Regions from separate parts of the Mus musculus genome. Here all the other regions are reported to be linked to region 1. Evidence: microRNA targets listed by miRTarBase, many of them from high-throughput screens and not tested one by one. Region 1 holds a microRNA gene; each other region holds the end of a gene's coding sequence.

The links. Region 1 holds the annotated microRNA mmu-miR-425-5p (AAUGACACGAUCACUCCCGUUGA, at 5,684-5,706, opposite strand). A microRNA usually pairs through its seed, bases 2 to 8, with sites in the 3' UTR of a target mRNA and lowers its output. Matches are read on the target gene's strand: a 7mer-m8 pairs with bases 2 to 8, a 7mer-A1 pairs with bases 2 to 7 and ends in A, and an 8mer does both.
Region 2: the mRNA of Agfg2 is a reported target of mmu-miR-425-5p. Seed matches in the 3' UTR shown: 7mer-m8 at 1,040-1,046.
Region 3: miRTarBase lists Tspan31 as a target of mmu-miR-425-5p. The part of its 3' UTR that is shown has no 7-base or 8-base seed match.
Region 4: miRTarBase lists Prkx as a target of mmu-miR-425-5p. The part of its 3' UTR that is shown has no 7-base or 8-base seed match.

What each region holds. Positions count from the first base shown.
Region 1 is chr9:108,566,562-108,574,494 of GRCm38, reverse strand. Mir425 (microRNA 425) reads right to left here and starts at 5,718; the gene lies at 5,634-5,718. It overlaps Ndufaf3 (NADH:ubiquinone oxidoreductase complex assembly factor 3), which reads left to right and starts at 7,059. Exons shown (of 5, transcript NM_023247.2): 1 at 7,059-7,644; 2 at 7,744-7,933. The coding sequence starts at 7,568. Dalrd3 (DALR anticodon binding domain containing 3) reads right to left here and starts at 4,603. Exons shown (of 12, transcript NM_026378.3): 1 at 4,420-4,603; 2 at 4,050-4,345; 3 at 3,681-3,931; 4 at 3,524-3,603; 5 at 3,322-3,450; 6 at 2,976-3,049; 7 at 2,821-2,882; 8 at 2,631-2,713; 9 at 2,378-2,554; 10 at 2,198-2,308; 11 at 2,034-2,102; 12 at 1,724-1,944. The coding sequence starts at 4,584. The coding sequence ends at 1,825. It overlaps Wdr6 (WD repeat domain 6), which reads left to right. Exons shown (of 6, transcript NM_031392.3): 2 at 1-394; 3 at 495-590; 4 at 685-801; 5 at 888-1,006; 6 at 1,082-2,184. The coding sequence ends at 1,545. It also overlaps Mir191.
Region 2 is chr5:137,644,871-137,652,803 of GRCm38, reverse strand. It overlaps Agfg2 (ArfGAP with FG repeats 2), which reads left to right. Exons shown (of 12, transcript NM_178162.3): 11 at 289-374; 12 at 982-2,341. The coding sequence ends at 1,035. Irs3 (insulin receptor substrate 3) reads left to right here and starts at 7,090. Exons shown (of 2, transcript NM_010571.3): 1 at 7,090-7,713. The coding sequence starts at 7,284.
Region 3 is chr10:127,061,764-127,069,696 of GRCm38, reverse strand. Tspan31 (tetraspanin 31) reads left to right here. Exons shown (of 6, transcript NM_025982.4): 2 at 184-351; 3 at 709-789; 4 at 1,086-1,217; 5 at 1,315-1,428; 6 at 1,507-2,407. The coding sequence ends at 1,581. It overlaps Cdk4 (cyclin-dependent kinase 4), which reads right to left and starts at 6,162. Exons shown (of 8, transcript NM_009870.4): 1 at 5,938-6,162; 2 at 5,244-5,477; 3 at 4,977-5,112; 4 at 4,695-4,862; 5 at 4,433-4,542; 6 at 3,694-3,744; 7 at 3,461-3,596; 8 at 2,409-2,768. The coding sequence starts at 5,461. The coding sequence ends at 2,676.
Region 4 is chrX:77,757,812-77,765,744 of GRCm38, forward strand. It overlaps Prkx (protein kinase, X-linked), which reads right to left. Exons shown (of 9, transcript NM_016979.2): 6 at 7,538-7,595; 7 at 6,762-6,839; 8 at 6,295-6,443; 9 at 3,161-6,080. The coding sequence ends at 6,318. It also overlaps the pseudogene Gm8722. Among named protein-coding and RNA genes, the nearest start is that of Prkx, 34 kb to the right of the region's middle.

The DNA of each region.
Region 1 (7,933 bases):
TGGAGCCTGGCAGTGAGGGGCCTGGTCTGATTGACATAGTGATAACAGGCAGTGAGGACACTACTGTCTGTGTCCTAGCACTTCCCACCACCACAGGCTCAGCCCACGCCCTCACTTCTGTCTGTAACCATATCTCCTCTGTGCGAGCCCTGGCAGTGTGGGCTGTTGGCACCCCAGGTGGCCCACAGGATACTCGACCAGGGCTCACTGCTCAGGTAGTGTCTGCAGGGGGCCGAGCGGAGATTCACTGCTTCAGCGTCATGGTCACTCCGGACGCTAGCACCCCCAGCCGCCTTGCCTGTCATGTCATGCACCTTTCATCCCACCGGCTGGATGAGTACTGGGACCGGCAGCGGAACAAGCACAAGATGATCAAGGTGGACCCTGAGACCAGGTAAGGCGGCCTCCCTGTCATGGGCGGGGCGTGAGAGGGTTATAGGAAAGTCCTGACTCCTGACTGCAGGCCCCACCTGACCGGTGTGTACCCCCTACAGGTACATGTCTCTTGCTATTTGTGAGCTTGACAACGATAGGCCTGGCCTCGGCCCTGGCCCCCTTGTGGCTGCAGCCTGTAGTGATGGAGCAGTGAGGTGAGCTCATAGGGCAGAGGAGGGGGAGGGGAGGGGGAGGGTGTGAGCTCTCCAGGACGGTTCCCAGACCACCACCCCTCCTCCTCGCCCCCAGGCTCTTTCTCCTGCAGGACTCTGGGCGAATTCTGCATCTCCTAGCTGAGTCTTTCCACCACAAGCGGTGTGTCCTCAAAGTCCACTCCTTCACACATGAGGCACCTAACCAGCGTCGGTGAGAGGCAGCCCTCTGTGGGTTGGGTAAGGGCTCCTGTTTTTCCATCCCTTTTACTGATCTGGCTGTCCTCTCCTGGCTTCCAGGAGGCTGATCCTGTGCAGTGCAGCTACAGATGGCAGCCTAGCCTTCTGGGATCTCACCACGGCAATGGACAAAGGCTCTACTACCCTGGAGCTTCCAGCACACCCTGGGCTTCCCTACCGTGAGTACCGTGACACCCCTCATTACCTCTCTCACAAGATAAAAGCGGGAGCTAACAGCCACTCTCTTCCTCCAGAGATGGGCACCCCCTCCATGACCGTGCAAGCCCATAGCTGTGGCGTCAATAGCCTGCACACTTTGCCTACACCTGAGGGCCACCACCTTGTGGCCAGTGGCAGTGAGGATGGGTCCCTGCATGTCTTCACACTTGCTGTGAAGATGCCAGAGCCGGAAGAAGCTGATGGGGAGGCTGAGCTGGTGCCCCAGTTATGTGTCCTAGAGGAATATTCCGTCCCCTGCGCACATGCTGCCCATGTGACAGGCGTCAAGATCCTAAGTCCCAAGCTCATGGTCTCAGCCTCCATAGACCAGCGGCTGACCTTCTGGCGTCTGGGACAGGGTGAGCCCACCTTCATGAATAGCACTGTGTACCATGTGCCAGATGTGGCCGACATGGACTGCTGGCCTGTGAGCCCTGAGTTTGGCCACCGCTGTGCTCTGGCAGGTCAGGGACTTGAGGTTTACAACTGGTATGACTGAGTTATCCCAGTGGGTGGAGAACTGAGCACAGGGCCTGACTGCAGACAGTAGAGCAGGGATCAGCTGTCTGTGTCACGCTCAGTGTGCTCTGGGGAGGCGAGGCAGTACCATAGTTCTCGCAAGTATTCCAGTAGGGTGTTGCATAGGAGGACCAAGAACACGCCTCACTCTCACAATAGGATGAAACTGTATTTATTCTGACTTTAAGTGCCCAACATCTGTGAGGTCTTGTTTCTTTCCCAGTTGATGCTTTTATAAACATTCCCAGTTATTGGGCCCTTAGATGTGGCTCAGCGGAGGGAGGCCCAGCATAGCCAAGCCTGTGTGGAACACCTCACGCACTGCCCTCAAAAGCTGTAGGCGAGCAAACATCTGACCAAAGAGGTGTGGCCGAGGTTCCTGAAAGAAAAGCAGCCAGGCGCATCCTCATTTCCCGTGTGCTCAGCCTTGCCCACATTTCCCGCAGACCCCCCTTGCTGTATGCTCACCCCTAGAATATGTACTCGGTTATAGTAGGAGCTGAAATCCATGCTGAGCTGCACCAGGAACTTGCATACCTAGAGACAGACGTTGAGTCGTTGAGCTGTTGTCTTTTTTCTTGTGTTACAACCCAGAATAAAGAATAATGTGTGAAATGTCTTCTGTGCCTTACCATCTCCGTGCGGACAGGGATGTGGAGGCCTGGGGTGCCGGCCAGACTCACAGTCTGGCTCAGCAGGTCCAGAAAGGGAAGGACACTGTTGAAAAGCAGCAGCCACTCACCCTGCGGGAGACAAGCGTGCTAGGAAGACAAGTCCAAGCCTTGTGGACGTTTATCAGGACCAACACTCACCTCATCATGGAGTAGTGAGAAGTCCAGACTGCTCACAAGCGGAAAAGTGGGATACAGACCTTGCTCCGTTCCATGTTTGTAGCCCTCGAAGAGTGTGGCAAGGCGGGCACAGTTATACATGACAAAAGTCCCGCTCTTTGTGCCCTTTGTTGAGATGGTGCTGTGGGCCAGGAGGAGCTGGGGAATGGTAACATAGCTGCAGAGGGCCTTGGCTCTGTACCTGCATCCTCCGTCCTGGTGTCGGGAGGCTTACCTGGCTCTGTGGGGCTGTGCTTAGCATCTCAAATTTGATGGTAGCCACGGAGAGGATGTCGAAGGTCTCAGTCCAGGCGGGGTCTGGGGTGCGAGAGAGGCTGGTCAGTGTCTGAAGACGAAGCACACAGGCCAGAGGTGTGCGTGACCTGCTTCCACCTCAGCGCACACGCAGGATCTCCCAGGTGTACCTTGTGCCAGGTCTCCTCCGTGCTTCAGAGCTGAGGCCTCGCACACCTGAGCATGTCTGAGCCTAGAAAAGCGAGCCAGTAAGCAAGGTCTCAGTGAAAGCTGTCCCTACCTTTACGCTGTTGGTGGCTGTGGATGGCATCCCTTTCATACTCACCTGTAGTACTGAGGGGCAGTCAGCTGGGTGCCGGGTACACCAGCCATTTTCACGGGACCACACACCAGGTGTTTCTGTGAAAGACTGGAAGGGCTCAGCCCAGTTGGCACTACCCTCCCCGCTTCAGGGAACTATATCAGTTGCTTTTCTACCTTGGTTTTCCCAATCTGTAACCACCAGCCTTCCTTCGTACCTCCTCAAGACACCATCATCCTTTTTCTTAAGACTACATAGTCACAGGACATTTGCACTTGTAGCACGGGTGCCTATGGTCACATCAGTCTCTAAACCCCATGGTATTCCAGGCCTGAGGTCGGAGGTGGTTTGGTTAACTTTGGTAACCAACCTGCTTGTGAGGAGCCCGGTCATCCAATTTCTGCCAGAGCAAATCCAGCTTTTGTTGCTGGAATGCCTCTTCACAGCTAACCACGTGTATAACCACGCAGTCATCTACACCAGCATCTGGACGCCCAGCCTGAGGAGAGATGGGGCAGTTACTACAAAGATACAAAAATCCAGTTTGGGCAGAGGTCAAGGCAGCCACTCACCGGGCCTGGGTGGCCGCCCTCTGGCCAGTGGCGCACAGCCTCCTGCAGCTCCGAGAGCACAGAGAGCACATCTTCAGTCACTACAGAAAACAAGAGGTGTTGAAGTGCCTGGCAGTGCAGAGACACAACCCCACCCATGTTCTGCCGTTTGTCCTACCCAAACAGTGGTCTATGCTGGGGTCATAGCCAGCAGTGCCTCTCTGTTCTACCAGTTCCTTCAGACACAGTCGGCCTAGGACGCCAGGGGGCAGCGTCGCTTCCTTAGAACCATTAAGGTTTGCAAGAACACAGGTTCTCAGTGTTTCGGTCGAGGTGCTCTTCGAGGCAGTGGGCCATTCCACCCGAAGTTTCTGGAGGAAAGTTGACATGTGAGGGTCCCGCACCGGGGGCACTGAGCACACACGTACCCTGCAAAGCAAGGGAGGCTGTCTCAGCCTGCGGACCAGGCTTAGATTATCATGACTCCCACCTTTTCTATCCCCAAATGTTCGGTCTTTTGCCATTATAGCTTCGAACACGCACTTACCCATGAGCACGCAGTACCCGTACTAGATGATCGGCTACGAGCACGGCACGCAGCTGGCTCAATCGGAGCGTCCCCGAATTACAGCGCAGTGCTGGGCAGTGTAGGACAACTCGCGGGCCTGGTGAGGCAGGTTTGGCGGGAGTAGCATAGGAGGCCAGGGCACCGAGTACATGTTCGAAGACAGCGGGCCGCTGTAGTTGGAGCGATAAACCCGCGGGTGTCGGCGCGCAGCGCAGTACAGGGGCCACTCCGGGACCCTGCAGGCAGGAGACCGCACGGAACACGCACTCTGGCACCTGCAGGCAGATGTGTGTAAGTGGGCCGTAGTTCCGTGGATCCCGCTAGGCATGCCCCACAGGAGCGCACCCACCTGGCCGTCCCTGAAGCGCGCCTGTAGCGCGCTTCGCGGTGCCAAGAAGTCTCGAACACGAAGGTGCCGGGCATGGGTTTCCTTAAACCACACTGGGCTACCAGGCCCTACAGCTGCATTAAGGGCCTCCAGCGTCTCGCCAACCCCAAGGCGCCCGGTCGCCATGGCGACCGGAAGACTAAATGGAACAGGAAGTAAGTTATCCGTAGAGCTTCCGGGAGGTCCGCCTGGCGGGGGCGGGGATCCGGCCGTGGACTCTCCTGAATGGACCAGAGCGATCGAGCATGCCAAGTGAGCTTACATTCTACCCACGCCTCCAGCTCTCCCTCCCGATGGCCTTTCCTGTATTCATGAGCCCTAACCTCCAAATTTGAGGGTCCATTTTTCCTCCTTTTTAAAAAAATCGTCACCCCGAATTATTACTTTGATAACGGATCTTTGTTACCAGGCAAGACACTTTGCCACCAAAGTTTCACATCTTTGTGTTTATGTCTCTTTTTTCTTTTTCTGCCCCATTTAAACAAATTAAAGGCCAGACGCACGAGACGAAATGTCAAAGGAATAAGGCTGTACCATTAATGACACTTTGTTTTTCAAGACAGGGTTTCACTGTGTAGCCATGGCTGTCCTGGAACTCTTTGTAGACCAGAAAGTCCTTGAACTCAGAAATCCACCTGCCTCTGCCTCCTGAGTACTGGGATTAAAGGTGTGTGCCACCACTCGTGTCTTCCATTAAAGACTCTTTACCGCCTACTTGGAAAAGTAACGAAACAAAGCAAAATTTGAGTTCTGATTATTGGTACGCCTTTCCTCGGCTGCGGTATGGAATGTCTTTATTCCCAGTAAAAGCCCAATCGGATAGAATTGCCCATCTTGATACCCGAGGAATTAGTCATCATGATTCCAGGATTACCAGCCTTTAATGTTTTTCCTTTAAACTGGTGTTACCGGCACCTTTGGTTCTTTAGGCAACTGGTCAGTTTAAGACAAATGTGATGATGAGAAGACCCAAATAAGCAGAGCTCTCAGGTAGAGCAAGCTGCAGGTGAGCTTTTCTATGTCCAAACTCTTTCGTTTCCAAGTAACGTGAAACTCCACTTCCCCCAGTAATGAATGAATCCAACCGGTGAACTTTGCTCCGGAGAGGAGTGACATCTAGAGATAGGAAAAGTTCGGGAAGGCCGGGGCTATGAGGCCCTGTTTGGGAGGTGCCGAAAGAGCACTGGGCGGACACGACATTCCCGATGGCTTCTTGGGTGCCCACTCAACGGGAGTGATCGTGTCATTCCAAAGCACTTTCCATGCTGTGGTGTGGGTTCAGCTGCTAGCAGGGCTGGGACCCACCAGCAAGTTGGTGATTTTAGCTACTCTCCCTCCATGAAGACGGTTGGGGTGGGTTTTCCCCAGGAAGTGAAGATCTATCTTTAGCGAGCTGCGGGCTGGGCGGCCTTGTGGGACTCACCGCCATTGCGGCCCTTCAGAGAGAGGACCCAGGACCTCCCTGGTCAGAGTTCTCCAGGGATTCCAGACAGGGCCATCAGCCCGAGCTTTTTTCGTCGCCTCTGACTGCCACCATCAGTCTGGGGGTGCACCTGAGAGATGGAGATCAGAATGGCCCAGTAGTGTAGTGTTTCTGAGAATAGAGACCACATTATCTGGGCCAGGGCGCTGCTCAGGCAGGAGAGCAGGGAACGAAATCCAAGTGCAGCTGGAATGCTCTGGAGACAACAGCTGCTTTTGGGATTCCGTTGCCCGCTGTCCAGCCATTGGAGGAGGGCTCTTGCTCCCAGGTCACTCGCCCTGAGGCCAAACCGGAACCCGCCCATCCCTTCCCAGTGGGCTGAGTAGGAAGGAGTAGGTGTTTTAAACCAGTCTAGTGAGAATGAGACGCTCACCTGGGCCCCAGAACAATAGAAGGTGGGGGCATCCCCCGGGACGAGGTCCTGATCCGGATTAGATCAGAAGGGCTGGATTAGCCCTGTGAGTCCCAAGCAGGAGCCACTTGTACCGGGCAGGCTTCGGAATCCGTCAAGAGGGAAGCGATTCCGTGAGACCCGAGAGGAAGTAAACCCATGTGTCCACTTCTGGGACTCCCCAAAGCTTAGGACCTTTTGTCTGGTGACGGTGCCAGCTCATGAAGTGCCAGGGGCCAAACTGGCCCACATAGCAGCGGCAGGACAGCCTCCCCCCAAGCCCATTGCAACCGGCCCTGCAAAGAACCCCACAGCCAAGCCCCATTTGTGTCAAGCATCCCACCCGTCTAGTCCAGCGGATAGAGAACGCGACAAAGTTCCTCTGAGGCCAGGACAGAACCGGTGCGCAGAGATGCCCATGCCGCGGGACGCCAAGGACTCATGCGCCAGTAGGCCCTAGACTCAGCTCAAGACAGGGGGAGGGAGACTCTCGGTACGCGCGCGCAGAGCGCGCAAGGGCGGGGTGGTGCTCCAGGCGCGGTCTACTTCACGTCTGGTCCGGTTTGGCCCAGTCAGTCCCACTCGAACAGCTACTCCAGCACTGCCACGGCGTGCCCTTCCGCTGGCTCTAGCTGTCCCCAGACTTGGAGCCATTTTAAGGAGAAACCATCTGGCCACACCCCCTCGCGCTGCCGGGAAGCCAATCCATGCTCGGCCACGCCTCTCATGGAGCGCTGCGCCGTCGCCAACGGTCGCGCTGGTGACGGTTGGGGAAAGCAGCGATTTCGAGACTAGCTAGGGAAATTTTAGCCATCTGCCCCGCCCCCGGAGCCCGATTCTCCAAAGCCTGGGATTAAGGGCCTGGAGGCTGGCACCACACCCTGGCCAGGTGTTCATAACAGGACCAGGTGCGCAGCTGCCCCGCCCTGGTCCCTGGGAGCCCGAATAATGGCTGAGAATCCCAGGAACAGGCCGCGGCAGTGGCCTAAACAATACCCTTAGGGCGCCCGTACTAGCAGGTGTTTTTCCCCCTCCTCCTTAGGGACTGTCGCTGGAGGCATGGGGCGGGGTGGGCGACAGGTGCTGACACACCCGCATGGGGAGACAGAGGCTCTGCATTGGCCTACTGCGCCGTTCAAGGTGCGCGGTGCCCTCCGGGACGCAAGGGGCGCTGTGGCTACTTTGAGACAGACAACTCTGTCCCTACGACCGGGTCGTTAAGCGCCGTTGCAGCCATGGCTACTGCTCTAGGATTTCGCTGCCTTTTCCGAACGCGACCTGCGCCGCTCTGTCGGCACGTCGACCGGCTGTGGTGAGCATCCCCTGTCCAGCCTCTGACCACTTGGCCTCGGACCTTTCAATCCCGCATAGTCCGGCCGGGCCACGACTTCCTGACTTTAGCCCTCCGCAGGAGGAACCCGCGTCGGGGACACCGGCTTTCTCCGGCGGACGATGAGTTATACCAGCGGACTCGCATCTCACTGCTGCAAAGCGAGTTCCCTCAGGCCGTGTACATCGACAGCTACAGTAGCAGAGGCTTCACTATCTGCGGAAATCGCGTGTTTGGCCCTTGCGTGCTGCTCCCACAGACGGTGGTCCAG
Region 2 (7,933 bases), not on the chromosome of region 1:
TTTTTAAGGATTTGTTTTCAGCCTACTCTTCTTGACCCTTAAGAAGACAGTTTACAGGGGGTGGGGCGCTGGTTGCCTGTACAGATGGAGAGTTGACCTAGTTCCCTTTCTGACCAGTAGGGGGCCCAGAGGAGCTGCAGAGCTACCTCTGTCTCCTGATGGCTCCATACTTTTCTAAGGAGAATTCTGGAAGGATCCCTCTTGGGTGCTCCCTGGGAATGTAGCAAGCTGCTCTCCTTCAGGAAGGTGAGAGACACAGTCAACCAAATTATTGTCCTTGTCTCCCAGGATCTTCCTTTGGCGACTTGGGGACCTCTAAGCTGGGGCAGAGGCCACTGAGCCAGCCGGCTGGGATCTCTACCAATCCTTTCATGGTAAGCACTGCACTGTGACATTGGAGACACACAGATCTTTCCAGAAGGTGGTAATGTGGGGTATAACTAAGACCCCTTCCTGGAGTGCATGTGTGTGTACCCATGCACTCACAGAGGCCAGAGGAGGACTTCCGGTGGCCTTCCCTATCACGCTCCACCTGACATAGGGCCTCTCATGGAACCTGGAACTAGTCTGGTGGCTGGTGAACCCCAGGGGTTCTCCGGTCTCTGTCCCTCGAGGGACACCGAGGTTGTAGGTGCACATGAGACCACCCCAGCTTTATATGGGTGCTGAGGATTCAAGATTAGGTACCCATGAAGCCAGTACACACACACAGCCCACCTCCTCCCTTTTTTTGAGACTGAGTCGCATTGTGTACCCCAGGCTAGGCTGAAACTCAGGCTCCTCCTGCCTCAGACATCTGAGTGCTGAGATCTCAGGTGTGTCCATCCACACCCAGCTCCCAGGCCCCACTCAGTCCCTCACTCCCTTCAGTGTCCCCTAATCTCCCTTACTGTCTGTTTCTCGAGTGGTGACGTTGGGTGGTCTCCAGCAGTTTCCCTCCCCGCCCCGCTAATCTAGTAACCTTTTGCTGTCTCTTTGCAGACTGGATCCTCAGCGTTTGCCTCCAAACCTCCAACCACAAACCCATTCTTGTAGCACTGTGTCATTGGGGGAAGAAGGGGCTCTCCCCTCCTGGGGGTGTGGGGAACAACTTCTACTTCTGCACCCCTCAGAGCTCTGGTGACCATTTGCCTGTGGGGCATTTCTGTGGGTCTGAGGCTGGGATTGGGCCTGGGTTGCGGGGCTTCTGGATCTGGGAAGAGGGGAGGTTTAGAAGTGTGACTTGGAGATGACTCAGACTCTAGCCTCCTGGTCTGCCGCCCAGGGGCTTCCTCTTCCTTGCTGGACACCTACCCAGGAAGAAGCCCACAAGGAGCAAAGATACTCTCACCAGGAGACCCCATAGTGGTGTATTTCTGTCAGATTATTAATTATGAAGACAGTCTTCGATCCTGTCCCTCCTGGCCTGTGGGGAGAGAAGCTAGGCACAGCCCCAGCCGCAACTTCCTCCACACCCAACCTTCCAAAGCTGCCGCTGTCCTCCCAGATGGAAGCAAAGCTCGAATGTAGGGTAAAGATGAGGCCTGGTGTTGAAAGCCACCAGATAGCCCTGGGACTGCGGAGCTTCTGGTGTCTAGTGTTTTTGTTTGCCAGGCTCGGCCACACCCACTTCTCTCCACCTCAGTTCTTCCTAGCTGCCCCCTCATCTTGTCCGTCAGGGTGGGGGAGTTTGACCTACAGAGTATGCGTGCCCGCCTCCTGTCAAGCACTTTAGTTAGCCCTGTCATGTTTGGATACCAGTGTTTTATATTTATAAATAGAGACTTTTCTAATATAGCCTATTATATACATAAATAAATATATATATGCATACACATATGTAAACAGATAAACACCGCTGGCCATTCTTTTTCTCCTAGACAACCCTTGAACTTGGGGGACTTGGGTAGGAGGATCACAAGTTCAAGACTAGCCTGGACAATTTTGGGACCCTCCGTCTCAAAGGAAGAAAAAAAAAAAAAACAAAACGATAAAAAGTAAAAACAGAGAACTCAGGATGTAGTTCAGTGGTAGAGCACTTGTCTAGACTCCTCCTGGGAACTTGAAGAATAGGGTAACTCCTGCCTGTGCCTGGATAATCAAACCCGGAGCCCCAGGGCTCAGGGGAGGACAACCAAGTGTCCTGACGCTTTCCACAATACACACGAGAAGGGGTACCCCAGAGGCTAGGCTTTTCCAATGAAAAGTCTGCGATTGGCTGGGGAGTTTGGTTTTTTTTTTTTTTTTTTCTTCTTTTTTCCACATTCCTCCCTCTGTTCTCAAATATCTGCACCAAAGCTTGTTTGGAGGCAATGTCGGAAAAGATTGCGTTTGAAAGGATTAAAAAAAAAAAAAAAAAAAAGCTCTGAGTGTCTTGTTTTGTGCCAGCTGGAGTGGACACAAGTCAGTCAACAGGACTGAGCCTTGACTTGGATCTTCTGATCTTCACTGCCTGGGCTGATAAACACGTGACCTGAACTGCGCACCCTCTGTTAGCAAGAAGCCCGGAGACCAGTGAGGGTCCCGATCTGGGGCTGAAAGGTAGTGATGGCGCAGGGCGGCAGGTGCCAGGGAGCTGGTCGAGTGTAGCTTTGATAAGTAAACCGCCTCTCAGTATTCTCGGCGCCTCCAGCAGTTCCTTACCAGAGGCTGTTGTGTCATCGGCCAGGTGTTTTGCGCTGCCTGTGCATGAGATAAATTCCCCTCCAGCAGAGAGACCCAGGCCTTGGCCGTGCTGTTTACCCTGGGAGGCCCCGCCCTTCAGACCTCCGCCAAGAGTTCCTGGCCCTTTAAATTATTCATTCTTAGGATTTCTCTGGGCCTTCCATAGGGACCAGCAAAGGGATGTGGGCATTAAGTTATCAGTCAGTTCTTTGCTTTATAGATGTTTCTGGAAAGATCTGTAGCTCTTGCTAAGCCAGGCTTGGCCTTCCCTCTGCAATAAGACTCAGTCTCTACTGTTTCCGCTAGCCTAGCCTCTCCCCTCCTTCCCTCTCCTGGGAGGAGGGGGGGGAGGGAGTGAGGGGGGAGGGAGGTCACCCAGCTGGCCCCTAGCCTTTGTACTAGATTTTTCCATATTTTCTGTTTCTTTTCTCATCTTTAATAATGTCAGTCTGTTCCCCACCACCACCACCACCACCAGTTCTCCTACCTATGTAGCTTGGGCTATCCTCAGACTAATTCTGCTGCCTCAGTCTCCTGAGGGCTAAGATTCCAGGTATGTGCCCCGACGCCAGGCTGCCCCTCCCATTTCTTTTTTGCTGCTGCTCCTTTTGAGACATAGTCACAGAGGCTGTGTAGCTCTGGCTTGCATGGAACTCACTGTGGAGCTCAGGCCGGCCTCAGACACACTGTGTAACCAAGTGTGACTGAATTTCTGACATGCCACCACACAGTTTCACAAGGTGCTAGGAATCGAGCATTCTACCAAAGGAGCCATATCTTTGGCCCTTCCCTTTCCCCCCATTTTGCTTGAAGCCAGGAGTAAGGGCAAGGTTGGTTGTTTTTTTTCTTTTTTTAAACACAGCTTCCCTGGAACACTCTGGCTTCAGATAACTTTAGTTTTAAAGGACCCTAAAAAAAAAAAACAGGGCCCCTTTTATATATAAATCAAACTGCACTGTATCCCAGGGATTTCCTGTTGCCTGCCTGCTGCCTGTGTCCAGGTCCTCCTAGCCTCCTCCCCTCCTGTCCCTCTGTCTGATGTGGACCCTGGACAGTCTTCTGACTGATAATCTACCCAGGGTTAGCCTCAAACATCCCCTGAGCTGAGGCTGGGGCTGAAGCCACTGTCCCTGGCAGAGAAGGGCTCAGCAACCTTCCTCCGTCTAACCTCTCCAGACCAGTGGCAAAAACAACAGAAACATCCCCAGTGTATAGAAAAAAGGAACCAAGTGGGCTTGTTTGTCCTCTTTGCACAGCCTCACCTGACGGCTGTAAGTCTGGACAGATGCACATACTTGCACATACACACCTCGGGGGTGGGGGGGCCTGGAACTTGACTTATACACGTCTGGCCATGTCCTTCTCTCTACACCGACCCTGGCCAATGCTCTAGCTACGCTATGCAGGTGACAGCTACCCTGGCTCGGGTCTGTCTGTCAGCCAATCGCCCATGGGCAGTTTCTGTTAGTACCAAGCCTCATTACGTAGCTTAGTTGTCCCCCTCACCCACCCACCCACACACACCCAGAGAAGAATCACAAGCCATCTCAAAGGTTCTCCTCTGGATTCCTACTCCTGCTAACAAGAGTCTTCCATAGAGATGTGGTATGCCCCCAACCTAGCAGAGCCCCAGATATGCTACTTCCTGAGTTGCTGAGGTTTCAGAAGACTATAAAATATGTGCTTAGGTAGAGTTGTTGCTATGGCAACTGAGGTAAGCCAGGCTTCTGGTACCCAGCGTATCACGTCACCAGACACTGCTCACCTCTCTGTACACTACTGCACACTGCTATGCTCTCTCTTAGTCCACACCCCAGGTCCTTGGGTGGCTGCTGCTTCCTGCTTTATCTTTTACCCAGCACTCCAGGGCTGAGTGACACAGAACATTTGGAGCAGCCTCTGTGACAGCAGATGTGATTTCACAAGGACAGATGTTTGCAAGATAACCAGGGTCAGGGAGGCAGGAAGAAGATAGGAAAAGACCCTTCCTGGATGCTTCAACTCAATCCTGAGGGAGTGAAGCTCAGTTTCCTTTGAGATGGAGTCTTGCTCGCCATTGCATACTCCAGGCTAGCAGGCTAGAGAGTGTCTGGAAACCATCCTGTCTCCGCTCCCCTCTCACTGGGAGAGCCCTGGGTTTATGGCTGCACATGGCCATGTCCAGCTGTGTAACCTGACTACCCAGCTCAAGTCTCAAACTTGCATGAGTACATTATCTACGGGGCCATCTTCCAGGATTTGCCGACTGAACGTTGAATATTTCTTTCAGCTCTGGGTGGGGCTCTGCACGGTTGGGAGGCACCTGGGGCAGGCCTCTGGCACGAAAGGCCCATACCTATGATGTCTGTTGGTAGTGGGTGTCTGCTTTCCGTGTAGCATTTGAAAGGGGGCTCAAAGATGTGCAGTTTATAACCAGACAGGCAATGGTGGTGCATACCTTTAAGACCAGCACTCCCTTGGGAGGCAGGGGTAGTCAGATCTCTGAGTGCCTCTAAAGGGGGTTCCAGGACAGCCAGGACTTCACAAAGAAACCTGACTGGGGCGGGGACGGATTCCAACCCAGCTTCATACTGCAGTGATTTCTCTAGGATTCAGGATCACAAATGGGTCATAGACCTCTGCTGCTTGGGCTGCCCCTGAACTATGCTGAGAAGACGACCGACCCAGGTTGTCTTGGTTCTGTTTACCTGTTACATGGGTCCCTTACCTAAGGGAGCCCCTCCCCCAAGTCCCCTACCAGGGTCTCAGGGCTTGGCCTTTTCTTCTCTGTATACCGTTATCTTTCCCCACATGGATTTTGCTGGCCACGACATTAGGGCATTGGCAGGTCTGCTAAGGTACCATGACTTGTCAACTAAGCTTTGTCAGAATGTGTCACACCACTCCCCACCCCCATGTGACCCTAATGTAGAGAAACAAAATATCCAAGGGGCTGGGGACGTAGTCTAATTAGAAACGTGCTTGCTGTGCAGATCCAATGGCCCCAATTTGATCATCAGAACCCACATGGAAAGTAGAATCCCAGTCCATCACAACCCCAGCACTTCTAGAGCAAGCTAGAAGACTACAACAGGACACGACTCGGAAGGCAGAGGCAGGCAGCTCTCTGAGTCCCAGGACAGCCAGAGCTACAGAGAAACCCTGCCTAAAAAAATAATGGCCACTACTATCTTTAAATGCCTGGGGTACACAGTGCGGCAGCAGAGAGAGTCCCTGCTTCAAAAAGGTGGAAGGCTAGCCGGGCATGGTGGTGCACGCCTTTGATCCCAGCACTTGGGGGGCAGAGGCAGGCGGATTTCTGAGTTCGAGGCCAGCCTGGTCTACAAAGTGAGTTCCAGGACAGCCAGGGCGATACAGAGAAACCCTGTCTCGAAAAAACAAAAACAAACAAACAAAAAAAGGTAGAAGGTGAGGACCCACTTCCAAAAGCTGACCTCTGACCACATGCAGGGGACAGCCTGTACAACACACGTACTATTTTCCAAGCTGGGTGTGGTAGCATGCACTGTAACCTCAGGCAGGGGAAGTGGAGTCAGACATATGATAGGCCTGAGGCCTTCCAGGCCTGCAAATCGAACCTACTAGACAAGTTCTAGTGAGCCTGTCTCAAAAACAAGAGGGATCGCTCTTGAGGAATACGAGAGGTTGTCTTCCAGCCTCCAATAAGCATGTGCATTTGTGGCCTATGATCTCCAGCCCCACCCAAACCTCTCAGGATACACGGGCTCACCAGGACGTCTGCCACAGGATCCCAGCTCCTGTGACCACAGCCACCATCAGGTTCAAGTTGGCATTTGGCTGGTGGTCAGGGGCACTTTGAGGAAGGTGTCTCTGAGAGACTAAGTCCTCTTTCACACATCCTTCAGTGGACATTTGCATGCGTGGGAATCTGGAGAGGGTGGGGGTGCGGTTGGTTACCAGAGACCAATCTAGTTTGGTTTTCCTATCCTGGGGTATCCATCAACCCAAACTCAGATAGCTCAGAAGCAAAGACACAAAGATCATCTCTGGGTAGGAAAGGAAAGAACACTGAGGACCTATACAACTAGAGGCTCAGTTCGGAGGCTCCTCCCTGGAGAACTGCCGCTATCAGGATGGCCCGCTAGGCCAGGCCACTCTTCTAATTACTAGTGCCATCACTGCTAACCACAGCCGCTTCTTCTGCACCCTGGCTTTCTGGCTTTCGAGATTGCCCCGGGCTGCCTCTGGCGGTACTCCTCCACCCCCACATCCAGTCAGCTGATTGGTAGAGATGCCCCCCCTCACTCCCCGCCCCTGTGAAAGTTTGGTCCCAGCGGTGCAGGGCTCCTACTCTAGCCTATGAATCCTAAACTCAAATTCCTGCACTCGGGCGTGGGAGGGTTAACTTGAAGGGGTGGAGATTCCAACAAGGAGGCTGACCCAGCTAGGTCAGCCTCCCTTAGACCTAGGAGTCCTGGTGTCACTGGCCACTGGGACACACGCACTCCTGTGTACAGGCTCCTTGTTCACTCCAAGTCAGGAGAGGGCGTGGAGAGATGCAGGGCAGCTAGGCCGGCTGCAGTTTCCCAGGGCTACTTGTTCCAAGCGGGTGGTAGCTCAGGGGGCCAGACCCATTCAAATCAGTCCTTCTGGGGACAGTTTACTGTCTTTGGCTGGAAATGAAGCCTGCAGGTACGGGCCCCACAGTCTCCTCCGGGGGCGAGTGCACCGACGTGTCCCTCGGCTCACCGTTTCCTTGGCCCTGCCTGCCCGACGTGCGGCTCTGTGGCCATCTGAGGAAGCAGAAGTCCCAGCGCCGCCGCTTTTTCGTGCTGCGCGCTGACCCACCACGCCTGGAGTGCTACGAGAGCGAGAAGAAGTTCTTGGCCAGCGGCTGCCGCCCACCTAGACCCCGGCGTACCGTTAGCCTGGAGGGTGCCTGCACTATTAGCAAGCGCGCGGATGCCCGTCAGCGCCACCTGATCGTCATCTATACCAGCGACAGCAGCCTGGGCGTGGCGGCGGCCAGCGAAGCAGAGCAGCAAGCATGGTACAGCGCCCTGCTCGAGGTGCGCGCCACCGCCGCAGCCGCTGCTGCTACTGCTATGGGTGAGCCTTGGGTGAGCGACGGGGAGGTCAGGGGGTTGCCGACTTAGTTTATCTTGAACCCATTTCCCTCAGATCAACTGAGGTTTAAATCTTTTTTATTTTCGAGACAGGGTTTCTCTGTGTAGCCCTGGCTGTCCTGGAACTCACTCTGTAGACCAGGCTGGCCTCGAACTCAGAAATTCGCCTCCCAAGTGCTGGAATTAAAGGTGTGCGCCACCAC
Region 3 (7,933 bases), not on the chromosome of region 1:
CCACGTCCCCTTGTAATATAGCCTTGGGCTGTGCTGCATTGCTAGAAATCTTTGGCGATGACCGGGTCTCACTGTATAGCGAGCTAGCTAGCACAGACTAACCTGGAACTTCGCTGTGCTGCGGTTGCAGGTATGAGCCACCACATCAGGCTGAATAAAGTGTATTCTTTCTATTTCTTGCAGCTTGTGGGCTTTTTGCTCATTGGCGTGGCTGCCTGGGGCAAGGGCCTCGGTGTGGTGTCTAGCATTCACATCATTGGAGGAGTCATTGCTGTGGGAGTCTTCCTTCTCCTCATCGCGGTGGCAGGACTGGTGGGCGCCGCGAACCACCATCAAGTGCTGCTCTTCTTTGTATCCTGGCCTTAGTGATTGGGGCCTGAGCGGGCTTTTCCTGGGAAGGGGACCAGGGGACCTCAAACACGTCTCTTTGTTCTTACTCTGTAACCCACACAAGTTGACGGTTTTCCCCCAACTTGATAAAAAGTGCAGTTTGTGAACAGAGAAGGGCCTTGAACTCTGCCCCCTTGCCTGCCACATCGCAGTTAGAATTACAGTGGTGAGATTTTAAAGACAGAAACTGGGCCTATGCTATGTAGTCCTAGCTTGGAGCTCACACTAGGCTGGCTACCACACAGCTTTGTCTGTCTGTCTCCCTGAATGAGGTATTTTAAATGGAAAACAGGTCTTTTTGCCCTAACTTCTTCTCAGTATATGATCATCCTAGGTTTGGTCTTCATCTTCCAGTTTGGAATCTCTTGCTCATGTCTGGCTATTAACAGAAACACACAGGTAAGGGTAAGCCCTTTCATGTACTTGCTTGCTTTCTCCACTTTTATCTGACCCCTTCATCTCATCCTTGCTCAGACCCACTGCTTCCACAGATGTGTGCTCCCTGACACATATGGTTAATTCCCCAAGATGCAGAGAGACCCTGAGACACCTCACATTACCAATGATCACGCTGCGGTCTCTGTGGGGTTTTCCTTGCTAAAGCAGGGAAATGGAGACTCCTGAACCGAAGGGTATGTGAGGAGACTAATGTCTAATAATGTTCTAACGAATGTTAATGCCTGTGTGCTCTCTAGGCAGATGTCATCAATGCTTCGTGGTCGGTCTTGAGCAACAGTACCCGGCATGAACTGGAGAGAAGTTTTGACTGCTGTGGCTTGTTCAACCTTACAACCCTGCGCCTACAAGATGATACTTCCTGTAGTGCGGTAAGATGAAGGATTAGTCATTCCTGGGACATTCACTACAGCTTTTTGGACAGGGCAGGTGAGCAACTTTGAATTCTCTATATATGTCTGTTACCAGGTGTGCAAAACTAAGAGCTCTACATGCCAGATGTGTGGGGAGAGGTTCCTTAAACATTCAGACAAAGCCCTCAAGATCCTAGGAGGTGTTGGGCTCTTCTTTAGTTTCACAGAGGTAATGACTCCTCATGTACACACTCAAGCCTTCAACCCCATGGTCCAGAAATAACCTTTCTCTCTTCCTCTCCCGTAGATCCTTGGTGTTTGGCTAGCAATGAGATTCCGGAATCAAAAGGACCCTCGAGCCAACCCCAGTGCCTTCCTATGAGACTTTTGACCTCCCAGATAGCATCTCTGCAGCCTAGGCTGTTTCTAGCTAGCTCTGTATCCAAGGAAGACCTTGAATTCCAGACCCTCCTGCCTCAGCCTCCTGCTGGCATCACCACACTCAGCCAGCCCCTGGATCCTTCTGACTTGGCTTTGCCATTTTTTTGTTTTTTGAGACAGGGTTTCTCTGTATGGCCCTGGCTGTCCTGGAACTGTGTAAACTAGGCTGGCCTCAAACTCAGAAATCCACCTGCCTCTGCCTCCCAAGTGCTGGGATTAAAGGCGTACACCACCACTGCCTGGCCTTGCCATCTTTACAAACACCTAGGGGTGGCCCTATGGTTTTGTTTTAGAGAAAAGAGGTCCCTTACCTCACCCCCAAGAACTGGTGGTTGGACTTATGTCTGTTTTGATGGGAACACGATTATGGATGAGGGGAGGTAGGCCTCGGGCCCTAGGAGGGTAACTGCACCCCCCCCCCAAGACCCTTGGCTTCAAGGACAGAGTCAGAACACCAAGAGAAAACCAGTTATAACCCAGGGCCTCACAAGTGCTCGGCAAGCATTTCTACCAATCAGTTGTCATTCCCAGCCCCACCTACAGTCTCATCAAAGCAGGACCAGTGAACTTAGAAACTAAAGCCATTTTGACCGAATATTCAAAGAAAGCATTTCTCTCTGATCTTGCCAGCCAAAGAGCTGGACTGCCTGCCTAGGTCCTTGCAGGGAACTTGTTTTCGTGTTTTTTTTTTGTTTGTTTGTTTTGTTTTCCCCAAGTCTCCCAGTGGCAAAGCCAATTGGAAAAAACATTAAAGAAAAATAAAGACCATACTCTTTGTCTTGTCTTGTTTTCCTGTATAAAAAAGATCCCAGTATAAATCAGGGAGGGAAGAAGACAGATACACCTGCCCTTTAGTGTAGAGCTAGGGGAGGGTAATGGGGGTGAACCTCGTAAGGAGAGGTGGGGACTTGTTATTTAAGGCTTAAAATATTCTCTGTAAAAAACTGGAGGATTCTCCACAGCCTTGGGGGGAAACAGAGGCTGCCGCTTCAGCGAGGGTTTCTCCACCAAGACTGGGAAAGGCAGCCCCTCTTCTCACTCTGCGTCGCTTTCCTCCTTGTGCAGGTAGGAGTGCTGCAGGGCTCGGAAGGCAGAGATTCGCTTATGTGGGTTAAAGGTCAGCATTTCCTAAAGGGAGAGGACAAAGGTCAGAAAACAGCTCAGGAGCCGATGCTGATGCCCACCCAACATGGCTGTTTCCTTTGTCCCACTCTGGCTGGCCATTCCCAACAGCAGTGACAACTACAGCCTGCCCACAGCTACATCTTAGCTTCAGGCTGGTCTGGGCCCGTCTGTTTCATCTCTGCGTGCACGTGCTCATGTGTGAAATGCGGGCACGCACATGTGCGTGTATACATGCAGAGGTCAAGAGTCTGGGCTGCCAGTCCTTGCCTTCCATCTCATTGGAGACTCTGTCAGCGCTGTATTACCAGGGATCTGTCCATCTCGCCCCGAGTGGCACTACAGGACTGGAGAGATGGCTCAGCAGCTAAGAGCACTGACCACTATTCCAGAGCTCCTGAGTCAATTCCCAGCAACCACATGGTGGCTTACAACCATCTGTAATGGGATCTGATGCCCTCTTCTGGTTGTGTCTGAAGATAGCTACAGTGTACTCACATACATAAAATAAATAAATCTTTAAAAATAAATAAATAAATAAAAAAGGAGTAGCACCATAGAAGCACACAACTTCTATATGAGTTCTGGGGATTTGAACTCAGGTCCTCACACTTATGCAAAGGAACTCTACCCACTGAGCCAGTTCCCCAGGCCACGGTATTTCTTATCTTAACCCAATCCCCGCCCAGGTCCAGTACCAGTAGCAGCTGCGCTCCAGACTCCTCCATCTCTGGCACCACTGACTGCACTGGCCGAGGCCCTCTGGGGGCAAAGGCTCCTCGAGGTAGAGATACCTCTCGAGGCCAGTCGTCTTCTGGAGGCAATCCAATGAGACTGTGGGGACAGGACAACTCTGTTAGGAGGGGCCTTTCCCAGCTCCTGTCTCCGCGGCAGCAGGAAATGTCTTTCCTTTTCCTTATCAAATACTTACTCAAAGATTTTCCCCAACTGGTCGGCTTCAGAGTTTCCACAGAAGAGAGGCCTAAGGCAGAAAAAGACTCAAAGTATGTGTTATATCAAAAATAGGGGAGTGGGGGCTGGAGAGACGGCTCAGCAGATAAGACTGCTCTTCCGGAGGTCCTGAGTTCAATTCCCAGCAACCACACGGTGGTTCACAACCATCTGTAATGTAATCTGAAGTCCTTTTCTGGTGTGTCTGAAGACAGTGAGTGTACTCACATACATGGAAATAAATACATTTTTAAAAGAAAAAAAAAATTGAGGAGTAACCGTTATGTAGACCCAACTAGAGAGTGTGGAGACGAGGAACGGGAAGATCCTAAATCCAGGGCATGCCTATATGGTTTCTTGGTTCTAGGCAAGGTGGTCAGTATGAACTGGGTAGGCTGGATGTCCCGTACCATACATGCACAAAAGCGAATGGTCAAGAACAGGCATGTCTGTAAAAGACTTGGGGGCCGACGGAGTGTGAAGTTCAGTGGCACGGAAGCATTTACTGAGTGTGTGTGAGTTCTGATTTCAACCTCTAGCACAGTAAGACAAGCAGCCAAAGCTATGTGCAACTGAAGGTAGGTTAAGAGCTTCAAGTCCCATACGGGCGGTGGTAACGCATGCCTTTAATCCCAGGGCTCTGTGAGTTCAAGGCCAACCTGATCTACGGCCAGGACTAACCCTGTACCATTAACAACAAAAAGTTTCTAGTCCCATACTTCCGACGGAACATCTCTGCAAAGATACAGCCAACGCTCCACATGTCCACGGGTGTTGCGTATGTAGACTGCAGAAGAACTTCAGGAGCTCGGTACCAGAGCGTAACCACCTGAAGAGAATAGTAGAAATGAGTGAGTGTCGACCTCACGAACCAGACCTGCCTGGCTCTGAAAACTTCATGTACAAGACTCCTCAGTTGCTATGGGAAACCACCAAGAGCTACCCCTATCACAACCTAGTCGGCTAACGCCTTTTACTGACCACAGGCGTGAGGGCCATCTGGTAGCTGTAGATTCTAGCTAGGCCAAAGTCAGCCAGCTTGACGGTCCCATTACTTGTCACTAGAATGTTCTCTGGCTTCAGGTCCCGGTGAACAATGCAGTTTGCATGAAGAAAATCCAGGCCGCTTAGAAACTGACGCATTAGATCCTGTTTTTCAAGAAGAAAGCACAGAACACCGGAAACTATGTATCACTTCAAAATCCCAACAACTTCTATTGCAAAGATCGGTCCACCCTCGCCCCCAGCCCCACCCCTACTCACCTTAATGGTCTCAACCGGCAGGCCCGGTGGAGGTGCTTTGTCCAGGTATGTCCTCAGGTCCTGGTCTATATGCTCAAACACTAGGGTGACCTTGATGTCCCGATCAGTTCGGGAAGTAGCACAGACATCCATCAGCCTGAGAAGAACAAATGATCACCAGCTAGTCGTCCCCTTTGTCTCAACGTGGCCTCTGGCGTTCTAGGGTCCCACTCCTGCCTTACGGGTCCTATTGTCCTCTCCGCCCCACTCCCAATCCAACCTTCTCACCGTACAACATTGGGATGTTCAAAGGCCTCCAGCCTCCTTAACAAGGCCACCTCACGAACTGTGCTGACGGGAAGGCCCCCTCCAGCTGCTCCTCCATTAGGAACTCTCACACTCTTGAGGGCCACAAAGTGGCCACTGTGGGGATCTCGGGCTTTGTACACCGTCCCATAGGCACCGACACCAATTTCAGCCACGGGTTCATATCGAGTGGCAGCCATTCTCGAAGCAGGGGATCTACAATCACAGAGGCTTCTAATACCAAACTCACTCTCACGGTTAGGAGGGGGATGACCCGGCGGTAACAAAGGAACTCCTGCACAAGACCTCGCCAACGCGATCAGCAACATCCCACCCCTCCACACTTCCAGGGCCCGCGCCTTAGGTAACACAAAGACTCCCATCAAACCCTCCTCCTCCGGCCACGTTTTGTCCCGGAGGAAGAAAAAGAATGCTTTCTTTCCTTTCGGAGGACATCGCACTAGGCACAAAGAGGATCACACAGTGCACAGGGTTTGCACCGAAGATTCTGCACTTCACTCTCCAAAATCACACCCTTGCCCGCGACCACAAAGGCCCCACTTCCCGCCATTGGGCCACCTTCCATAATCAGCCAGCGACGCGCACGCGTGGGGAGCTGGAGGGTGCTGGTGGTGGCGGGGACTGGTCCCCCGATCCTGGATGAGACTGCACTCACCTTACGCTCGGCTAAGAGCTCTGGAGGTGGCCCTTTATCTGGGCCCGGGAGCCGGTTCCTGCGGCGCCATACACCGGGGATCGGTCCCGGGCAGCTGGACGCTTCGGGCCAGACCATAGACACAGGCCGCGAGCTAGAGAGGCCCCCTCACCCCCACCCTCACCATGTGACCAGCTGCCAGAGAGGCGCGCGGAAACCCGGGGGGCGGGGCGGGCGCCGGACGTTCTGGACACGTGATCTTCACCCTTGCGCAGTGGGCAACCCGGGCTGCTTTGATGGGAGGGGTGTGGTGGGGAAGGGGGCGGGGCCCTGACGGCCACGTGACCTGTTGCTATCCCACGTGACCCCTTGACTTTGCGCTGGGAAGCAGAGGTGTGGTTACGCTGTGTGGCACGTGACTGGCTGCCATACCCTGACTGCCGAGGGGGTGTGTGGGGGCGAGAGAGGGTGGAGCACAAGGCGGTGTCATGGCAACCGGGCCAACCAGCTCTCAACTCTGGGCTCAAGGCCGAGCCAGAGCGCATCTTCAGTCTCACTATGGGTCTCTGAGTGGGCGGGAGGTCGAGGTGTTAGTGGGAGATCCTGGTGCCAGAAATGGTGCTGTAACATTTCCACTCCACCGCCATGGGGAAACATTCGTATTTGTGTCTTTCTTTTACTCATTCATTCAACACAATTTTACTAAGTGCTTCCTTCCAGTTGGTATGCGATGTTTTTGTTTTGGTGTCTCAGTCACTCGCCCTTTGAAGTGATGATAAAGATAACTAGTATAGGTAATTGTGGTCTTATAAAACAGGGAATAAATAATTTCTATCTGAGGAGGAAACTAGGATTAAAAGATGGACAGAAGGAAATATAATAAGCCACTGTATGGGTATGGGGGGGCAGCAATTTAATGCCCTCCCTCTTCCCAACCTGTAAACCTCCCCAGGAATATTAAAAGCAGCAAGAAGTGATTGAAAATAGGGGTTCTTGATTTTACAAGAGTCTTTACACTAAGATTGCTACATATATATGTGATTGCATAAACAGATGACAGGGTAAGCATGTCCAGGGTCAGTCACCACCACATTGCTGGAAGATGACGTGTCCTTTTGCAAACCTGCAACTCCTCGTTGGGGTCATGTTCCTATTTTTTCCCCAGTCCAGCTTAGAACATATTCTTGATCTGATCAGCGTTTCCTAAATGGTCTGCCTACAGAAATCTAGTTAGACAGAGGTAGATCTGTGTGACGATTTCGTCTGCTCCAACTCCTTTATTGTCTCCCACCTCTTAGGGATATGGGATGAAGGACCATGTTCCCATTTGTGAAAAATTGCCTAAAATCTAGAGCTATTTTAAATTGATTTGGGGTGGGGGTGCTGGGGATTGGAGTTAGTGTTTTTTTGTTTGTTTGTTTGGTTGGTTTTTTGGATTTTCGAGACAGGGTTTCTCTGTGTAGCCCTGGCTGTCCTGGAACTCACTCTGTAGACTAGGCTGGCCTCGAACTTGGAAATCTGCCTGCCTCTGCCTCCTGAGTGCTGGGATTAAAGGCGTGTGCCACCACACCCGGCTTGGAGTTAGTGTTTTTATATGCAGTAAGCATGGGTTCAGTCACTGAGCTATATTCCTGAACCCTAAATTCTAAAATCATATTTGAGACACTAGAGTTGAGGCTGGTCTCAAATTAATTGCAATTTTTGTGCTAAAGCCCCTAAATGCTGTTTTTATAGGCATGAGCAACGATTTTGGCTCTGATTTATTTTATTGTGGATATTTGTTTTGTTTTAATGGAACAAGGTCTCATATAGCCCAGGTTGGTCTTGAAATGGACACGTAGCTAGCCTCAAATACTTGATCCTCCTGCTCCATCTCCCAAGAACTAAGGTTAAAGGTATGCACCACTTTTTTTTTCTTTTCTTTCTCTCTTTTCCTTTCTCTGTCTTTTCTTTCTTTGAGACTGGATCTTTCTTGCCAGGTAGCCCAGGCTGGCCTCAGACTCTGCAATGTCCACAT
Region 4 (7,933 bases), not on the chromosome of region 1:
GATCAGAATGAGTCCTATAAAGTATGACCTTGATTTTTTCACCAACTCAAACAATCATAACTTTTTTCCCAGCTGCTGTGAGGGCAGCCACTTCATTCTTCATCTGTTTAGCCACTGAGGAATGAATAGCACCACAAAGCCCTCTATCTGAGGACACACCAATAATGAGGTGCTTCTTATTGTCCTCAGGTCCCTGTTCCATACGCTTGAGTAGGCTTCAGCTCCCGCTCAGCCCGGGTGTACTTTATAGCTGCCACCATCTTCATAGACTTGGTAATTTTCTGGATATTTTTGATGGACTTCAGTCTCCTGGTAATATCTTTCAGAGTTGCCATGTTTCAAACTTGGATCCATTGCGGCTGCGTGGCACAGGCCGACAGCCTGACAATACTCACCTTCGAGAACATGGTGGAACCTTGAAGGTCTGGCAGACGGGGCTCACTGCCCCAGCAAAACTTTCAGTCAACATAGATGAAGAAACTAAGATATTCTATGACAAAGCCAAATTCAAACTACCTTTCCACTATCCCAACCCTTCAGAGGATACTAGAAGGAAAAGTCAAACCCAATGAGGCTAACTACACTAAAGAAAATACAATGAATAAATAAATAAATAAATAAATAGATCCACACCATTAAAATAGAAGAGAAACACACACACATACTACCACCACTACCACCATCAAAATAACAGAAAGTTATAACAATCATTGATCATTAATATCTCTTAACATCCATAGATTCAATTCCCCAGTTAAAAGACGCAGGCTAGCTGAATGGATGTGTAAATAGAATCCATCATTCTGCTGTACACAAGAAACATCTCAGCAAAAAGATAGATATTAATAAAGGCTGAAAAAAAGGTTTTTCAAGCAAATGCACCTAAGAAACAAGATGGACTAGCCATTTTAATATCTAATAAAACAGACTTTCAACCAAAAGCAATCAGAAATGACCAGGAAGAATACTTCATACTCACTAAAGGAAAATCAACCAAGAAGGCATCTCAGTTCTGAACAACTATGCCTCAAATGCAAAGGCACCCACATTCGTAAAAGATGCATTACTAAAGATTAATCACACATGAATCCCACACGCTAATAGTGGGAGACTTCACCATTCCACTCTTACCAATTGACAGGTCATTGAGACAGAAACTAAACAGAGAAATAACAAAACTAACAGAGGTTATGATTTAAATGGACTTAACATATATCTATCACCCAAATACAAAAGAATATACCTTCTCAGCACCTCACGGAACCTTCTCCGAAACTGACCATATAGTCTGTCACAAACCAAGTCTCAACAGATACAAGAAGATTGAAATAATCCCATCCTATCAGATCACCATGGATTAAATCTGAACTTCAACAACAACAACAACAACAACAACAACAACAACAACAACAACAGAAACAACAGAAAGTCCACATACTCCTCATCAAAACTGAACAACAACAATGATCACTGGGGTCAGAGAAAAGAAAGGAATGAATAACTTTCTAGAATTCAATGAAAATGAGGGCACAACATATCCAAACTTATGGGACACTCTAAAAGCAGGGTTAAGAGGAAAGTTTATAGCACCAAATGCCTCCATAAACAAATTGGAGAGTTCTCATACTAACATATTAAAAGTATATCTGACGACTTTAGAAAAAAGAAGCAAACACACACAGGAGGAGCGATAGCAGGAAATGATCAAAGTCAGGGCAGAAACCAATAGATTAAAACTAAGAGAACCATTCCTGAGCACATACCCCAAAGATTCTCCAACACATAACAAGGTCACATGCTCCACTATGTTCATAACAGCCTTATTTATAATAGCTAGAAGTTGGAAAGAACCCAGATGTCCTTCAACAGAGGAATAGATACAGAAAATGTGGTACATTTATACAATGGAGTACCACTCAGCTATTAAGAACAATAATTTCATGAAATTCTTAGGCAACTGGATGGAACTAGAAAATATCCTGAGTGAGGTAACCAAGATACAAAAGAACACCCATGGTATGTACTCACTGATAAGTGGACATTAGCCCAAAAGCTCGGAATACCCAAGATACAATTCACAGACCACATGATGCTCAAGAAGGAAGACCGAAGTGTGGGTGCTTTGGTCCTTCTTAGATGAAGTAACAAACTACTCACAGGAGCAAATATGGAGATAAAGTATGAAGCAGAGACTGAAGGAAAGGTCATCCAGAGACTGCCCCACCTGGGGATCTATCCCATATACAGTCACCAAATGCAGAAACTATTGTGGATTCCAAGAAGTGCATGCTGACAGGAGCCTTATATAGCTATCTCTTGAGAGGCCCTGCCAGAGCCTGATAAATACAGAGGCGATGCTCACAGCCAACCACTGGACTGAGCACAGGGTCCCCAATGGAGGAGTTAGAGAAAGGACTGAAGGAGCTGAAGGGGTTTGCAACCCCATAGGAAGAACAACAATATCAACCACCCAGATCCCCCAAAGCTCCCAGGGACTAAACCACCAACCAAGGAGTACACATGGAGGGACCCATGGCTCCAGCCGCATATGTAGTAGAGGATGGCCTTGTTAGGTATCAGTGGGAGTAGAGGCCCTTGGTCCTGTGAAGGCTCGATACCCCAGTGTAGGTGAATCGAGGGCAGGGAGGTAGGAGTTGGTGGGTGGGTGAGGGAACACCCTCATAGAAGCAGGGGGTAGAGGGATGGGATAGGGGGCTTCTGGGGAGGGGAACTGGGAAAGAGGATAACATTTGTAATGTAAATAAAGATATTATTCATTAAAAAAAGTAAAAGAAAAATAAAGAGATGCACAGAAACGTATAAGGACCAGAAAAGAAATCCCACATAGCACACTCTTGTGACTTAGGTTATGCACCACCCTACCCCCATCCCCCAAGTTAATGACGTCTGAAGTTTGTAATACTTCCACTATCCTGGGTACTAATATTCCTCAAAACAATCATCAACCTGTTACAGGGGTGCAGACCAATTTCCTTGATTAACCCAACTTCATTTCAGCTTCACTAGTTCTGCCTCTGAGAAATGGGCACCAACTACTGTTGGTGACTGGATCACTGAGGTCATTAACCATGGTCAATGACTTGTGTTTTATGGTGTTACCCTGTGTTACAGGAAAAGTCAAGAAACGACCTGAAACAGATTTCTTAAAACATACAAACTTTTATTAAACAAACCTGGACTCAGTAATAGTATTTTATAAATTAGACAGCAGAAAGTTTTCCTGGGGCAAATATATAGAGAGATATACACACAAATCACAGTGATTTTTTTTAATATGCATCAGGATAAAAAAGGAAAAAGAAACAGGCTTTTTCATTCTGCATAATTTCAGGCAAGCTGACGGTTGCTCGGCAGCAGGGGGGGGGGTGCACCTGAACAGTGCACGTGGGACCTGTGTTATAGCAGGTCAAGTGATGAGCCCCACACTCTGAGAAGAACGGAGGTGACAAGGGGTTTTAGTCTGACATGTGAGGACCAGGAGCGCTGGGGTGCTCACTTTCTCTAAGTCACACAGATAATGATGTCATGATGTCTATTACATAACCAACTGGAGCAACCTCCCTCTCCCAAATAACTGTGAGGCCAGATGCAAGGGTGTGAGACTCAAAGGCAGATTTGATAGTAACATTTAACAGTTGGGAAGCAGATCCTCCCCCTAAACTGATGGGAACAAACACAACCTAATGGGGGCACCAACTCACACATAAACCTTGACTTTGCATTATAAGTTTCAGGTGGTTTACAGTGTTCTGACAAATAAGAATGACAGGTGTTGAATGTTCATCAAATGCTTCCTACGGAGCTTCATCCAAAACAATAACAAAAACAAACAAACAAATCCCAGGAAATCAACATATTTCAAATCTACAGTCAGAAGTGAGACCCTTTCTGTGATTTTCACCTCAACATCAAGACCCACACAATGCTAAATTTTCACTAGGGTTCACCTAGCAACACAGTGGTGATTGGTATGTTTTGGTCCAATGTTGGGATATTTGCACAGCCAGAGGGTCCTGTGAACAGTATTAAGCCATCAAATCACATTCTACAGTGTAACATGTAACAGCTAGTTTAGTGAGACAAGCACCAATCCACAGCACGTAGTACTTTATCTGTACTAAACATTAAAGTCAGTCTTAGTTGAAGAGCATAGAGATTTGTTTTTTTTTTTTTTAAAAGAGGGGATTTCCTTTTTTTTTTTTTTGCTTTTTAAGATTTATTTATTTATTATATGTAAGTACATTGTAGCTGTCTTTAGACACATCAGAAAAGGGCATCGGATCCCATTACAGATAGTTGTGAGCCACCAGGTTGATGCTGGGATTTGAACTCAGGACCTCCGGAAGAGCAGTCACTGCTCTTAACCGCTGAGCCATCTCTCCAGCCCAGAAATTTGTTTTTAAATTTTTATTTGCTAGTGATTATCTTTTATACTTTGGTTCGAATCAAGCTACCACCAGAGAAATTTGAAATTTATTAACTATTCCATTGTTTCATGAGAAGGTGTTGGGTGCACAACTCTCCCTGGACTCAGAGTTAAGAACAGGACATATTTCCCTCACCCTTTTTCATGGCTGCTTTTGCCTTACCACCCCTTCTTGCATGTTAACTACATGGACTGCAGAGGATCGAGGTTGGGTTGGTTCTCAGCATCCGCAGGGCGGCATAGAACTGCCTATAAGTCCAGCTGTAGGGTCTCTGGTGCACTTGTTGGCTGTGTGTACTGCAGTCACATGTACACACAGAATTAAAAATCTTAAAATAGAAAATTATGATTCCTATATGATGTCTGATGTCACTGTAGTGACATCGCATAGTGTCATTTGATTTACAGCCTGATTAAGGGTTTTTTATTTGATTTTTAGGATTGGAGTCAGATTGCAAGGTGCTTTAGGAGCACACAGAGGGTGCATGTGCGCATGTGTGATCTCCCCATGTGTGTTTAGAATTAAGGCAATATTTCCTATGCTAATTTCATGTTATTTCCTACTTAATAGCAAACATCTACTGACAGGACTTGATTATAATCCTGCATTCTATCTCCTGTATGTGTTTGTTTGTTTGAGGTACATAACCCAGTTAGTTTGCATATTGGAAAGCACTGAGAAAGCTCACCAAAAATACAGCTCTGTACAAACTTTCATAGAAGTTCCCGGCCTGGAACCTGAGTTTTCACGGACGGACATGGCTGGGAGAACAAAGTTAAGATGGTGAGAAGAAAATGCCATTTACAACAGAGGAGGGAGGGGCTTAAGGGGTGGATCCTTAAAGTTCCCTTGTGGGGATGTGGGTACATTTGTATTATCATAAAAAGGCAATCTTTGCACCCAGGTGCCATGCTGTATGCAGAGTTCTGGCTTAACTTTAGGAAGGGATATTTTACTGAAAACATCTAAACTGGAAGATTGGAGGAAAGCCACACATTTGTGCTATATCTGAATAAGGGTCTGCAGGGCATGTGGCTTCCTGACTTCCAAGTTTAAAGTGACCAGAAAGGAACTAAATAAACAAACAGTAACTAAATAAACAATGTACACAAATGATTGCAAAATGCATAGAAAGGCATTTTTAAAAAGCATATATCTCACCCTTTTTTTTTTTGCCTGTAGGGTGAAAGATTTTTCAGAAAGCTTTAAAAAATGAACATGTCACAAGCACAAAGTGCCAAAATTTCCAGTTTGCACAATTTCTGTGCACATATACACTGACAGCCATAAAACCAAATGGGTCAAATTCAAACTTAAAAAGTTCAGTAGAAAGACAAACAAACAAAAAAAGAAACAAAATTCACAGCACAAACACAAGACTCATGAAGAAGGAGAAAACCTACAATTTAACAGGTTTTGCGAATTCTCATTGGGCAGGTTTCCAGTTGTTGAAATGAGGCTGGGTTCCAAGGGTGATGATTGTATTGATCTTTCAGGAACTGGAATACACACACCAAACCTTCTAGTTTCATAGTAGGAAATGGAAACGTACGACAAAAAAGGTTCTGGCCATTGGTGTGGTATGTTGTGCTGTGGTGTGGTATGGTGTGGTATCGATGTCTTCACATACATCTGGCAAAGAAAAGGAAGGGGGAGGGTTCAGAGATTATCAACATTTACTACTGAGTTACCTGACAATCATACATAGTAAGAAACCCTGCAGACTGGTTAATTCATCATTCTCAGTTGCACTGAATGTATATTTTCTCAACTACATGGTAAATTAAAAGCTATCTTTGGCTACATGACACCCTACTTAGAAATTCAGAAAAAAAAAAAGTTTTACCTTTCAGACATGAGTTCTCATCCTCAGAAATTTTTGAATGTTTCCAGGTCTTTGTCAGATACAGAAGGTGTCTTGTCCAATTCACTCTCTGGATAAGTCTCAAAGTTGGAGATGTCACCATCACCCGATAACTTGGGCACAATGGGTGGCTGAGAGTCATTCAAAATAAACAAAGCAACAAAGAAATAAAATAAGTGAATGAGGTGACACTGGGTAGCCCAGTGGGGACATGTAATGCCTGTCACTTGGAATACAAATTTTATGAGAGGCTGAAGGTACTCCAGTACTGAAGTCACATGGTGCGCATGAACACAGAAACAATACACATACATCAAGCGCAAAATAAATGACAATAAACCTCTAGTAAATTAATTTGGAAGACTGAGACACAGTAGTGGGAGCTCACTGGGTGGTTAGGACCATATATGAAGCTGTTCATTTAATTCAAGGGTGTATAATACTCCCACCTTCAGTTTTCTTTGTGGCACAGATTCCCACTCCACACCTCGGAACCACCGGTGCCGCTTGATGTCTTCTGCCCCATTCTTGAGAGGAAACATAAACACTCAGTAAAAAGCATTTGAAAAAAAAAGTGTGTGTGTATGTGCGTGTGCATGTGTATCATTTCTAAAATCTCCAATAAAGCAATTTAAAAATAAATTAAGTGGCCAGGTTTGGTGGCACATGCCTTTAATTCTAGCACTCTGGAGAAGGAGGCAGATGATAACTTTGATGCCAGCCTAGTCTACAAAAGAGATTTCTAGGACACTCAGAAGTATATACTGAGACCCTGTCTTATAAATAAATAAATACTCAAAAATAAAGAATAAGTCAACCATGAGTGGAGGCATATGCATGTCATCCCAGTCCTGGGAGGTGGGAGGTTGAGTGGGTCACAAGTTCAAGGTTATCCTTAGCTACAACATAGTGATTTTGATTGTAGTCTGGGCTACAGGAAAACAGCAAATAGGGGCCAGAGAGATGGCTGCTCTTTCAGAGGACCCAGGTTAGATTCACAGCATCTATATGGAAGTAGACAATCTCCTGTAACTGCAGCTGCAGGGGACCTGAGTCCACTGTGGCAGGTAATAAACCTGAGTAGTACATACACAGAATTAATAAAAACAAACCAGCAACAAACAAACAAGCCAAAAACTAATTTAACATTGAGCATGGTCTGGGATCCTCTTAGTGGATGACATCACCGTCAGTGTGCAAACTGGAATGCTCTAGCATGACTCACCTTCATGTTGCCTAGGCGTCGGGTCCTGTCCACCACCAGCAGCTTCTTGATGAGGTCCCTGTGTTAGCAGAGAAGACTCCACTTGGATCCAGAAAATGCCAGAATCAACTGAGGTGCTCATTCCACCCACACCACCACATGGTATCTCTATTGTGGGAAAAAGACTTACCAGGATTTGTGAGAGCAAGCAGGTAGGCAGCTTGCACTCTGGGCTCCAACCCCTAACAATGACCTTAAACCCCTGTCTTCCAGCCTCAATCTCCTATATGCCACGGATGCAGACTGGCTTTCCATTTACATGGTAAGAAATGGAGCCCAGCCCTTGGGGCATGTTAGTGCCAACTCGGCCACCAGCACTCTACCCACTGAGTTAAGTACTATGCCATGTGAGCTATA